Caenorhabditis elegans: one gene and its partner. The protein of the gene in region 1 purifies or fractionates together with the protein of each later gene. This does not show direct contact. Each region holds a gene or a part of one and is shown on either strand. Other genes may lie near its edges. The genes, in order: imb-1 and npp-13.

Region 1 (7,862 bases):
ATTACTGTCGCATTTGACAAAAAAATGTTTCGTGTCCAGACCAGGTACCGTATTCTTTAACTCATAAATCATGAAATTTTGCTTCTTTGATAGCTCTACAGTAACCCATTCATCCAAATCCTCACCATTTTCAGCTCATTCCGGAATGCAACACTGGGTATTCTTCTTCGCCGGCCTCGTTTGCTTTATTCCGGGCTTCTACCACGTGTACTACGTGACGTGTACATTATGCGGCCGGCCTGGTTACTCATTCGACAAATTGCCCACTTTCAATCGATAGCCCCATCCATTTATTCTGAATCCACGTTTTGTAATCTAGTCAAACACACACAAAAAATCAGAATTGAGGTGGTCTCCTCATTTCAAAACCCCCGAAAACATGGTCATTCGAGAGATTTCTTAGCCTTCAATTCTCATCTAATCTTCACTTTTCTTCATTATTGTCGATGATTTCCAAGATTCCTCCACCGGTTTCTTTTTCCTCTAATCAAAATTGATTCAAATCCCCTGCATTTTTTTCCGAGCTTTTCAAATTGCCACCACCTTCCCTCTATGTACATAGTTTCTACTACTACCTTACTACCCCATCATTTATCATTTACTTCTATGTATTTATTTTTTCCTACTTGTCATTAATTTTTTTTTCGTTAAAAAAAAAATATATTCCAAAATATTCCAAGAGAATCATTTAGTGCAATTGATGTGTCTTGAGATTGAAATAGGCGGGATGACAACTGGTAACTGACAGCCCTTCGGATAGAAAACATAGATTTACAAAAAAAAACTAATAGTGTTAGCCGGTAAAACTTTGAGAAAAAAAATAGTGATGAATAAATAGGGGAAACAAAATGATAACGTATAGGGCCGTCAGATACCGTGTTAGAAGTTTCAAATTTGGGCAAAAACGATAATCGATAAAGACCGACAAAAAACAACCAGAAAATGATGAAGATAATTGCTGCTAAAAATCAGAATCATAATAGAAAAATTTGAATAATGAGGGGTCACACACACAAAAATATAAAGCAAACAATCTAGGAAACGAAAATAAAAGTGGGGGAAATTACATTCTAATTCGTCAGAGATAAAAAAATAAAATAAAAATACCGGGGAGGAGATGAAGCTGGAAACTTGGAAGATGGAAAAAACGGAGCAATGAATGAGAAAAGGAAACGGGAGAGACAAAGAGAGAGAAACAGAGAGCATATGACCTGTAAGAAGAGATGTGGGGAAATGAAAGAGAAATGTGGGGGGTGGAGGAAGAAAATAAGAAAAATTGGAAAAAAAAGTGAACTGAGATTGAAAGTTTTGTGTTGCTTAACGATTAAAATTGAACGTAGCTGCTCCGTTGTTCGTATGCTGCAACTAGTTTATTCGTTAGAAATGTTGATGAAAAAGGAAAAAAGTAAGTATTTATAGCTTAGAGAATATTTGTTTTGGAATTTTGCTTTAAATGAAAGAAAATTGACAGTAATGACCGAATATAACCGTTTAAAAAAAATTTTTGGATTTTTTCTAATTTCTTAAAATAATGTTTAAAAAAATTTTTGCAAAAAAATAAAAGGAACGACTGAATTAAATTTGAATTAGCAACTTTTGTTAGTTTTTTTTTTCGGAGATTTTGTCTTTAAAACTTGATGACCCACAAAAATTGCAGAATCTTCAAAACTAGCATACAACTTATAACTTTTTTGTGAAAAAATGTCTCAAAATTGGCAACAGGTGTTTAAAATCAAAAATTCGAAAAAACCCGATAAATTTAACCAGGAAAAAACATTTAGTAGTTTTTTTTGTTGCAATATTTTAAGAAATTCATGTAGATTTTTTTTTAATTTTTGTTGTTATATTTGGTCATTATGGTTTATTTTCTTGTTTTCTAAAAAAAAAATGAATTTCGATTTTTCAATGTTACCTTTTTAATTTCTTTGGTCGCCCAATTGGCCATCGATTTCGTCTTTGACACCTTTGACTTTCTACCCTTTTGCAGCATTTGTGTCACCTGGAAAATAATTTTCAGATTTGAATAATAATAATAAAAACGAACATTATCAGTTAGGAAGAATCGAATAATATCACCCTCATACAACTGAACAAGATCACCAATGATACCAGCTGTAGTAGCGATAAGTGCTTCTGATGGTGGAACTGGTTCCATTGATGAAATCCGTGTAATCAGTTGAACTATCGGCTCGACGAATACATTGATCATGTTTCGGGCAGCGGTCGTCTGAAATCATTAAAATTAAAATTTCCGGTTTGTCAAAAAATTATAAGCAAAAACAACTGTGTATTTTTTTTTAATTTGTTTAGTTTTTTTCATAGAATTTTCTCGCTTTTTATTATTAAAAAAATGTATAGAATAAGTTTAATATTGCAATTTTTTAACTAAAAAAAATTAAAATTTTAAAAAAATCGAAAAACGGAAATTTTTGAATTTTTCGTTTTCCGATATTTCAACAAAAAAAATCTTGAAATTCGGGTTATTTTTCCTCATTATGGGAAGAAATTTTTTTCAAACTTTTTTAATCAACATAAACAAAATTTGATCAAAATTGAATTTCATGGTTAATTTTTTGAACATTTTTCGATTTTCCGGTTTTTTCGGAAATTGTGTATTTTCAAAATTTTGGTGGTTTTTTCAGTTATTTTTTTCATGACAATTTTGGGAGAATTTATAGAATAAGTTTGATTTGAAATTTGACTTTTCAAATTTTACGAAAAAAAAACGCGAGAAAATTCTATGAGAAAAATTGAAAGAATATTAAATTTTCCAATTTTAAAAATTGAACATTTTCAAAAATACACTGTTTTTGCATATAACATTTTTCAAATGCGTCGTTTGCCTAATCACATACGTCAGGAATTGCCTTCAATCCTTGAATAATTCCAGTATATGAATTGAGGCAAGCTTCTCTTAATCTATCCACATAATCAACTTGATCATCATCGTTCTGGAAAAATTAATTATAAATTCGAATAATGTTTTTCATTTTTTACCGGATCAGTGACAACTGCAGCATTTTGAGCATTGTTGAGAATCGGTACAACACTGCCGACATATCGTTCGAAATGTGCTTCGATAGCCATTGCAATGTCAGCAAATGTTCCAATAATCACAACTTTCACGTTTCTATCTAACCGTGGTGACTGAAAAATCAAATTATAATTTTATGCGAGCTGAGTTTTCTCATTTCTCGAATCTTACCTGAAGACACAGAATCAACTTTTGAATCAATTCATCCATGAATGGCATGATTTCGGCTTCAAGAGCACGACTGAGGTCGGTGACAAGTCCAACGGCGGCGGCACATACTTGTGTCTCATCTGTATTCGAAAGTCCTTCTAGCAAATATGGTTTCAGCACGTTCATGTAACTGAGGAATCCTTTTCCTAGATCTGAAAGAATTCCAGTTCAAATATGCTTCAGAAAATCGGAAAAAAATCTTACGTTCTGCCAAGCAAGCAACAGCCAACAAAGCTTCTTCCATGACCGCATTACTTCTTGTCGCTGCAGCTCTGTTCATAATTTGATAAAGTCCGTTCATAATGTGCTCTCCAACGGCTGGAATGTCGGCTGGCTGCATTTTGCGAGTGACGGATTGTAATGTGGCACACAGCATTGCTTGAAGATCCCGAACTTGAGCCTTGTCAGCTTCACTGGTCGCCTGAGACTCCATTTGCAGCAGGCTTTCCAATTTCTGAAATTAAAATCATTTTTTCTCGCTCGTGATTAACACTTTTGTTGCCTTCAATATGACTACAGTTGTATTTCGAACAGCTGAGTAACAGTCCTTCGGTGAATGCTTGATCAGTTCCATCAGAGCCTCGTATGCAGTGATTCGAAGATTCGATTGATTTCCATCTACTCTGTCGGTAATCTTGATAAGCTCTCCAACCATTGGATCGAATACTGAGGAAAGAGCAAATGTGTCCGGTTGTCCACTTCCATCTGTTCCATTTGCGACGGCTGACTCATAGCAAGCTTTGACAAGGGAAACGAGGGCCTGAAATTATTAAAAAATAACAATATTAGGGAAATTAATAAAAAACGATACCCAGCAAACATTGTTAGCAACTCTTGGTTCTTGATGAAGACCATTGGAAAGAACCGGAAGAACAGATTGAAGAAGTTCCGCGTTGTTTGCAAGCTCCGAGCACGTATCAATAACTCTTCCAAGAGACCATGCAGCAGTATCACGTACATTGACATTCTTATCACACATGGCTGCAACAATAGCTGGAAGAGCTTCCTGTGCCATCGGAAGAAGCTTCTTTGGATCAGGACCATCAAGAATAGATCCGAATGCCATGATAGCTGCTTCCTTGTATTTCCAATCAGGATTTTGGAAGTGTTTGAAGAATGGAATCACGTGATTGACAATATCATCCCGTACACATTGAGCAGCAAGCATCAAGCATACACCGGCAGCTTTTGCTGGTGTCCAGTCATCATCATCGTCTCCATCGTCGTGGTGAGCCATTGCTTCAAGAAGAACCGGGCACACATGTGAAGCAGCTTGTTCCATGAATCGTAGCGATGCACATTTTGGATTTGGAGCTCCTCTTTCAACTTCCTGGAATTTTGGAGAATTAGAGTCAACCACAACCAATTATTTTCGGCAATTCTACGGAATTGCTTTCAACATTTCTTATTAAAAATTAATGTCAGAATATAGGAAATCTCTTGAATTATCTGAAAATCAACAGAAAAAAAGTAATTTTTAGATAATTCAAGTGATTTTCTATTTATTGACACTAATTTTAAATAAAAATGGCAGCATTCCGATCAAAACGCGTATTTCTTACATCCTCATAGGTCATGTACAAGTCAAATTCTTCCTCAGCGACAGTTGACCAGAATTCCATTCCTTGCATTGCCACTTCAGGCTCCTGGGATTTCATTGCAGAGAGAGTGATTTGGAAGAGTGCACTGCCCATATATGAAAGCATATGTTCATAGTACAGCTGCATGATCCGAACAAGACACTGGAGAGCAGCTACTTTTACTCGTTGATCACTGCTGCTCGTCGATTCACAAACAACTTGCATGATGATGTTTCTCTCGGCCTGAATTTGAAATAATCATTGAAGAGAAAGTATAGTTTGTGGGCAATTTGCTGAAATAGACTAACTGGCCTAAAACGATCAAATTTCATAATGATAACTCTCAAAAAATTTACCAAAAAAAATTTATGTTCTTTTGAAGATTTTTTAATCGCCATAACAAATTGCCGAAACATTTTTGAGAAGTATCTTTGCGAAATTCGTTCATTTGAACACACTTTGAGGTTAAACACTTTTTTTCTCACCTCATTGCTAAAGTTCGTGTTTGTGAACTCTAGCGAATTCAATAAAGCATTGGTGGCCGCGAATCGAACGTTGGCGGATGATTCCTCGGGACGCATTCCGTGAATAATTGCTGTTAGGACGTCATTGGCTTTTGTCTCCAAAACTCGTGGATCAATGTCTTGACAAATGTATCCAAGAGTTTCAAGTGAAGATTCTTTCAGCATTTCTCCGCTTTGTGACTCTGTCACGTTGCTCTTTAGCAGGTTGATCACATTGGGCCATAGCTAAAAAATATGATTTTTTTTATAAAGTCCTGTACAATATATACTTACATTTTGTGGAAGCTCTGCACATGCGATTGCTGCAACGCATTGAGCTGCAATTGATGGTCTTGATGGTTCAGTTCCCAATGTTCCGGTCACATTCTGCTTTACCTGTTCTCTGACTTCAGCCGTCAATTGTAGCCATCTGAAAATCAATTTTTATAAACTTTTTCTATTAAAAAAATGTTTTACCTTTGCAGATACACATTTTTGGTTTCAGTTTCTTTGGCACATAGAACGTTTTTCAACTGCAAACCGGCGGCTTGACGAACAAATGACTGACATTGCTGTGTGCGAAGTATCATACTGAGACACTGAACGAAAACGGGAAAATCTTGTTGACATGCCGCCGCAATATAGTCCATCGCCTGTTTCTGATCATTTTGATCTGAAAATATATTTTTATAATATTTGAAATCTACTTATTTAATTAAACTTACTTTGTGAGACGGTTTTCTCCAAAACCGTCAGCATCTGTTCTGCCGCTTGTTCTGCCATTGTCTTCAGAAACTTCGGAAGCCGAGTAAGCGTAGTTACTGAAAAATATGTATTTGAGGATGATTAAGTGAGGAAATACACTCTCGAGAGAAATACTAATCAATTTAAAATTTTGAAAATAGTTTTTCGGGCTTTTTTGATAATTTTACCGATGATAAAGAGTGAAATTGATAAAGTTTCGTAAAAAAGTTTAGCGGGAACCTATTAAAATTTTTTTAAATAAGAAAATTTACGTTTTTGATGGAAATTTTAGAAATTTCAACAGATTTAGAAGTGCAAAAATTCGAAAAAGTAAATTGCGCCGAAAATTTCATGAAGAGACGCAGAGAAAACGACTGTTATAGGAGCATTGTCGCGCCGAGACACTCATTTTCAAATTCGTTGTATTTCTCTTCCATAACAGATTTTCAATGGAGCGTACATGCATTATTTCATTTTTCTTCATTTTTTTTGCTGTATTTTGCTGTTTTTTCATGGAAATCTGTTCAAATTCCTGTAAAATTAATAGTTTGAAGAAAGAAATATACGAATTTAATAATGAGAAGTTCCCTATTATCAATCGGACTCTCACAGTTCGGATTAAGTGTTCTGCAGGTGAGAGTTTCGTATCCTAAATTCTCAAAAAGCTCAATTTTCAGACGCTCTTCATGTTTTATTATGTTAAAGTATACATTAATCAGTTTCACGTCAACACAAAATGGTTCAACATTGCGCAAACTTTGTTTATGGTCTGGAATGCAATAAATGATCCACTTTTTGGATATTTGCAGGTATTTGTTATATTTGTAAGCTAGAAATGATTATTTAATATTTTGTTTTCAGGAAATTCGTGGATCATGGCTCACAAATCGCTTATTAGTGATCAAAACTTTATCTCCTTTCCTTGTTGGCTCATTTGTGTTCATGTGGATCCCATGGAATACAGAAGGTTCAGATTTGGAAGGATTGCACCTTGTTCTCTCATTATTCCTTTACGATGCATTCTTCAGTGCAATCAGTGTTGCATGGGGAGCTCTATTCGCTGACACCACACAAAATCAGTCATTGATCCGAGTAAAAGCACTGAAATATTCTCAAATCGCAATTCTTTTATCGGTATTTTCGATTGCTGTCACGGAAAAGCTGAGCAACAGTTTAAAGGTATTATTATTTAAAATTTAGATTTAAGAAATGTTCGCTAATTTCAGAATTTTCCGATTTTCCAAGGAATCTGCTTTTTCGTCGCAATACTTTCTTTCATTTGTCTTTGGTGGGGAGGTCACTTTGGAAAAATCACAAACAATCGTCAAGAGGATAAGGAACAAGGAGATCGAGAAGTTTTAATTGAAAAAGAACAAGAAAAAGAAAAGGAACATCAACTAACATTCCACGAAAATGTTCAAAATTCTATTCATCTTACCAAGCAAATTCTCTCACAACGACAGTTTCTCGCCATAGTGATCACCAATTTTTTCCATACAGCAAGAAGTATTGCTCATATGAATTTTGCATCAATTATTACAGAAATCCTAATTCCTCAGGATATTCTACCGAGTGGATCGATTCGATTGAGTTTATTCTTTATGCTACTCACACTTGGACCACAAATTATTCTAATTGTTAATGAAAAGCTAATTGCAAATGCTGGCGCGATTCGGGTGATTTCTGTTAGTTATATTGTCTCGTTTTTATCCGGATTTATGATCGTTGCATCCGGAAATCCATATAGCATTATGCTCTTCATGCTTATCGATTGGTAGGTTTTAATCTGAA
Region 2 (4,957 bases), 2.8 Mb from region 1:
AACGAGCACGGAACTCTGGTTCCGCTCATAAATTGAAATGGAAGAGTTTTTGCCGAACTAGGCCAGGTCATATCTGGGGGTAGATTTACGGTGCGTTGCGTGTCGCGTCGCGGCTCGATTTTTGTTGTAAAACTAAATGTATTTGTCCGTGTGGAGTACACGACTTTCCCAAGGCGATTGTCAATGGAGCGCGAAAAATTCTATGAGGAAGGCCAGAACCCCCTGTTTTCCATGGTCTCCCGGAGTGTTCATAATTATTCGAGCACGACACCTCACGAACTCCAGAATTCGCGGGAATTCGATTCGCGCGGGGACAGCAGTTTTTGGCTATTTCCGGCTTCTATAGAAATTCTTTTTTGAATTTTTTGATTTATAATATTGTTGAGAAGCATCATACGAATTGAAAATGTGTAAAATTATGAAATTTGACCGAAAACTGAAGGTTTTACTTCAAAATCTATCAGAACCGTCAGTTTTTCGATTTCGTAGTCGTAAAATATGTCATTTTGTAGAGAGAAAAGAGTATTTTACAAAAATCGACGTTTGAAAATTTAAAATTGTTTTTATTAAAAACTGAAAATCTTTTATAAAAAAAAACGATTTTAAAGTAAAATTGTTGATTTTTTGAATATTTTTATATTAGAAATTAAAGGTGGAGTACCGAAATTTGAGACTTTGCTTTTTTAGACCTAAAATGTTCCAAAACTACCGAATTTCGTGGTGAGGCGTTCTGAAAATTTCTCAACAAAAAAGTTATGTCCGTTCAAAGTTTTGGAAAAAATGGTAGATTTTTAGCTAAAATCTCAAATATTAGCAGCTTTTCAGTGTTGCAGCGGTTGGAACTTAATTTTATTTGATTAGCACTCTTTAATACATATTATGGTAGTTTATTACGCGTTTATTCGTTGATTTAAGCCCATTTTCGGTCGATGGGTGCACAAATATAATACAATTTTGTGCACCCATCAACCCAAAATGGGCTCAAATCAACGAAAAAACGCGTAATAAACTACCATAATATGTATTAAAGAGTGCTAGTCAAATAAAAATTGAGTACCAACCGATGCAGCACTGAAAAGCTGACAAATTTGAGATTTTAGCTGAAAATAGACCATTTCTTCCAAAACTTTGAGCGGTCGTAACTTTTTTTTGTTGAGAAATTTTCAGAACGTCTCATTACGAAATTTGGTAGTTTTGGAACATTTTGGGTCCAAAAAAGCAAAGTCTAAATTTTTGGTGCTCCACCTTTAATTTAATATAAAAATACTCAAAAAAACAACAATTTTACGTTAAAATCTTATTTTTTCTAGACTTTTCAGTTTTTAATAAAAACAATTTTCAATTTTAAATTTTCAAACGTGGATTTTTGTGAAACAGACTTTTATCTACAAAATTAAATATTTTACGACTTTGAAATCAAAAAACTGACGGTTCTGATACATTTTAAAGAAAGCCTTCTGTAAAACCGTCAGTTTTTGGTCAAATTTCATAATTTTAAACATTTTCAATTCGGAAAAATGCTTCTCAACAACATTATAAATCAAAAAAATAGAAAATAATATCTATAGAAGTGCGCGCGAAACGAATTCCCTCGAATTCTGGAGTTCGTGAGGTGTGCCGCGCAAGGGATTTTAACGAACATCTCGTTCCATAGCCTGTGCTGGATTCATGGGAACTGCGGCAGGTCTCGAAAGAAGCATGTGGTTGAAGAATGCTCGATCCGTCTCCACTTTAACACGAGAAATGTCCTCGTCGAGCTGGAAAATTTAAAGATTAAAACGTTGTTTTCATGATAAATTATTAATTAATCACGGCCACCTGGAGTGTTCATAATTATTAGAGCGCGCTCGCGCGGCACCTCACGAACTCCAGAATTCGCGGGAACACGTTCCGCGGGAACAGCAGTTTTTTTTATTTTTGACTTCTATAGGAAATATCTTTGATTTTTTGTTTTATAATATTCTTGAGAAGCATCATCCGAATTGAAAATGTGTAAAATTATAAAATTTGGCCGAAAACTGAAAGTTTTACAGAAGGAAGCCACTACAGTTTTTAAAAAAATGTATCAGGACCAGTTTTGCGATTTATGTGTCGTAAAATATGTCATTTTGTAGAGAATTAAAAGTTTCATAAGAATTTTTGTTTGAAAATTTAAAATTGTTTTTATTGAAAACTTAAAAATTGAAGAAATAAGATTTTAACGTAAAATTGTTGATTTTTTGAATATTTTTTTATTAGAAATTAACGAATTAAAATTTCAAACGAAAATTTTTATGAAACTTTTAATTCTCTACAAAATGACATATTTTACGACGCATAAATCGCAAAACTGGCGATCCTGATACATTTTTTCAAAAACTATAGTGGCTTTCTTCTGTAAAACTTCCAGTTTTCGGCCAATTTCATAATTTTACACATTTTCAATTCGGATGATGTTTCTCAAGAATATTATAAAACAAAAAATCAAAAATATTTCCTATAGAAGCCAAAAATAACAAAAAACTGCTGTTCCCGCGGAACGAACTCCCGCAAATTCTGGAGTTCGTGAGGTGCCACGCGAGCTCGCTCCAATAATTATGAACACTCAAGGAGGCCGTGATTAAGTACTTCTTCCTCGTCAATATCATCCATTACAGCTTCAGGCACGTCCACGACACCTTCATCAGTGAGAGTATCCTCGGCGGTGTGACTTTTCGGCTGGCGGCTCGGAAGTTCGATGCCACGCTCCCCAAACATCATCTGCTTCTGAACTGAGTGCGTCTGACGTGTCCAGTCGCCTTCTGAACCGCCTAAAATACCGCAAAGCTCCTGCTCGACGCCATTTCGGACTGTGAATTGCTGCGAGTTCTGGAAAAAGGGAATTTTTCGGTGTTTTTAACATTTTAAACATTATTTACAAACCTCTTGGCCGACACGGTTGGTTTGGAAAATCGGATTAGCAAGCAATTGTGCGAATCCTTGATGATCAACTCTTCCGAGGATCTCCGTAAACTGTAGCATCCTGAATTGAATTAAAAATTGAGAAAATTACTGGTTTAGGTTTTTTCAAGGATTTACAACATTAACCAGTTTACATTAACCACATTTTCCAGTTTAAACCCTGAAAAATATGAAAATAATCGAAAAATATCGTTAAAAAACGTTTTAAAAACCAAATAATTCTCGTTTTTCGCGGCAAAACGAAAATTAATTTTGAAAAAATCGGTGCAACGACACTCCGAAATCCCGCATGAATCCTAGGCCAGTATTTCGAGTTCTAGGCCACCAGCTTCTTGGCACATTGCCAAGAGCTGAATTTAAATTAATTTCCGCTGGAATTGAATCGAATTCAGTACAAATTGAGTGGGAAAATGAAAAACTTACAAAAAAATTGAAAAAAAAAACATTTTCGATGAAAATGTTTCAAGAAAATTGAGTATTATTTTTAAAGAAAAACGAAAAAAAAGACATAAATTCGGGAGCGTGTCGTAGCATCCACATTATCGACTTTTCCGGTTAGAAGTACACCGCCAGATGGTAGATCGGTCTCAGGAACTCATGGAGCAGATAATAAATCACAAATTGGATGATTTGAACACTAAAAAACATTAAATTTCTTTTAAAAAAATGAATTATTTAGTGACAGTTGTGTCGAGAGCTTTTTTAATCAGTAAATGTTTTACTGGTCTATGGAAAATAATTATAAGTAAAAATTACTGGAACACAGAATTCAGAGAGCCCGTATTGCGCAACATATTTGGCGCGCAAAATATCTCGCAGCGAAAACTACAGTAATTCTTTAAATTCTTTAAATTACTGTAGTTTTCGCTACGAGATATTAATAATTTTGCGCGTCAAATTTGTTGCGCAATACGCATTCTCTGAATTTTGTGTTCCCGTGATAATTCAACAATTTTTCAGTGTAAAACAAATCAGGGATTTCTTTTGAAAGTTTCGGGTTTTTTTTCCACCACGCGGGGTACTGTGGCACCGGTTTCAGCTGTGTCAATGGGGAAATGTGTGAAATTGAAGCATTCCCAGGCATGATGGGGGTCATTTTACAGCTGAAAATCGAGAAATTCGAATTTAACGACAATTTAAAGAACATTTTTGAAATGAAAAAATTTCCAAAAAAATTGTTTTTTTTTCCCCAATTTCACTTTTTTCTCTAAATTACTCTAAAATTCACATTCTCCTCATTCTCAGCTTCAAAATGACTCCCATCTTGCCCATTTTCTGCCAAATTTCAAATTTTCGGGTCCCACCACGCAGGGTACTGTAGCACCGGTTTCAGATGTGTCAGTAACCTAAATAGAGGGTTCTTAGGCATGATGGGGACTCATAATTTGAAATGGAAGAGTTTTTGCCGAACTAGGCCATTTTGGTTCGGCCATATCTGGAGTAGATTTACGGCGCGTCGCGGCTCGGTTTTAGTTGTAAAACTAAATGTATTTGTCCGCGTGGAGTACACGACTTTCCCAGTCCGGCGGGCGATTGTCAATGGAGCGCGAAAAATTCAACGAGGAAGGCCAGAACCCCGTGTAATTTTACATTAAATTTCGCTTTTGTTGATTAGAAAAACAAGAAAATATATTCATAATTTTCTCTAAAAACAAAAAAAACCAATTTTTATAAAAATTTCGTAAAAACGGGACACTTAATTAGAGTACTACGGGGTTATTGCCTTCCTCATTGAATTTTTCGCGCTCCATTGACAATCGCCTGCCGGACTGGGAAAGTCGTGTACTCCACACGGACAAATACATTTAGTTTTACAACTAAAATCGAGCCGCGACGCGACACGCAACGCGCCGTAAATCTACCCCAGATATGGCCGAGCCAAAACGGCCTAGTTCGGCAAAAACTCTTCCATTTCAAGGGAAGCCAGAAATCAGTGTGTAATGTGAATACACCAAATTCGACGCGCAAAGTTTGAAAATTCACAAAATCCTCACCAAAGTGCCAATTAATATCCAAT

The links.
Region 2: the proteins of imb-1 (region 1) and npp-13 purify together in Caenorhabditis elegans (affinity purification with western blotting, with the first as the bait; one study listed by BioGRID). This does not show direct contact.

Annotation. Positions count from the first base shown.
Region 1 is NC_003279.8:4,920,086-4,927,947, forward strand, and holds imb-1 (Importin N-terminal domain-containing protein), read right to left. Parts: upstream 6,149-7,862; 5' UTR 6,111-6,148; coding exon 6,053-6,110; intron 6,001-6,052; coding exon 5,805-6,000; intron 5,758-5,804; coding exon 5,622-5,757; intron 5,574-5,621; coding exon 5,310-5,573; intron 5,068-5,309; coding exon 4,807-5,067; intron 4,575-4,806; coding exon 4,056-4,574; intron 4,005-4,055; coding exon 3,747-4,004; intron 3,699-3,746; coding exon 3,449-3,698; intron 3,397-3,448; coding exon 3,206-3,396; intron 3,148-3,205; coding exon 2,998-3,147; intron 2,952-2,997; coding exon 2,856-2,951; intron 2,228-2,855; coding exon 2,045-2,227; intron 2,000-2,044; coding exon 1,913-1,999; intron 1,360-1,912; coding exon 1,318-1,359; 3' UTR 674-1,317; downstream 1-673. Other genes in the region: F21F3.7 (Transmembrane protein 230), read left to right, coding at 135-280; mfsd-13.1 (Major Facilitator Superfamily Domain containing homolog), read left to right, coding at 6,648-6,704, 6,749-6,880, 6,933-7,250, 7,298-7,845.
Region 2 is NC_003279.8:2,095,390-2,100,346, reverse strand, and holds the start of npp-13 (Nuclear pore protein), read right to left. Parts: upstream 3,002-4,957; 5' UTR 3,001-3,001; coding exon 2,902-3,000; intron 2,848-2,901; coding exon 2,608-2,847; intron 1,758-2,607; coding exon 1,641-1,757; intron 1-1,640.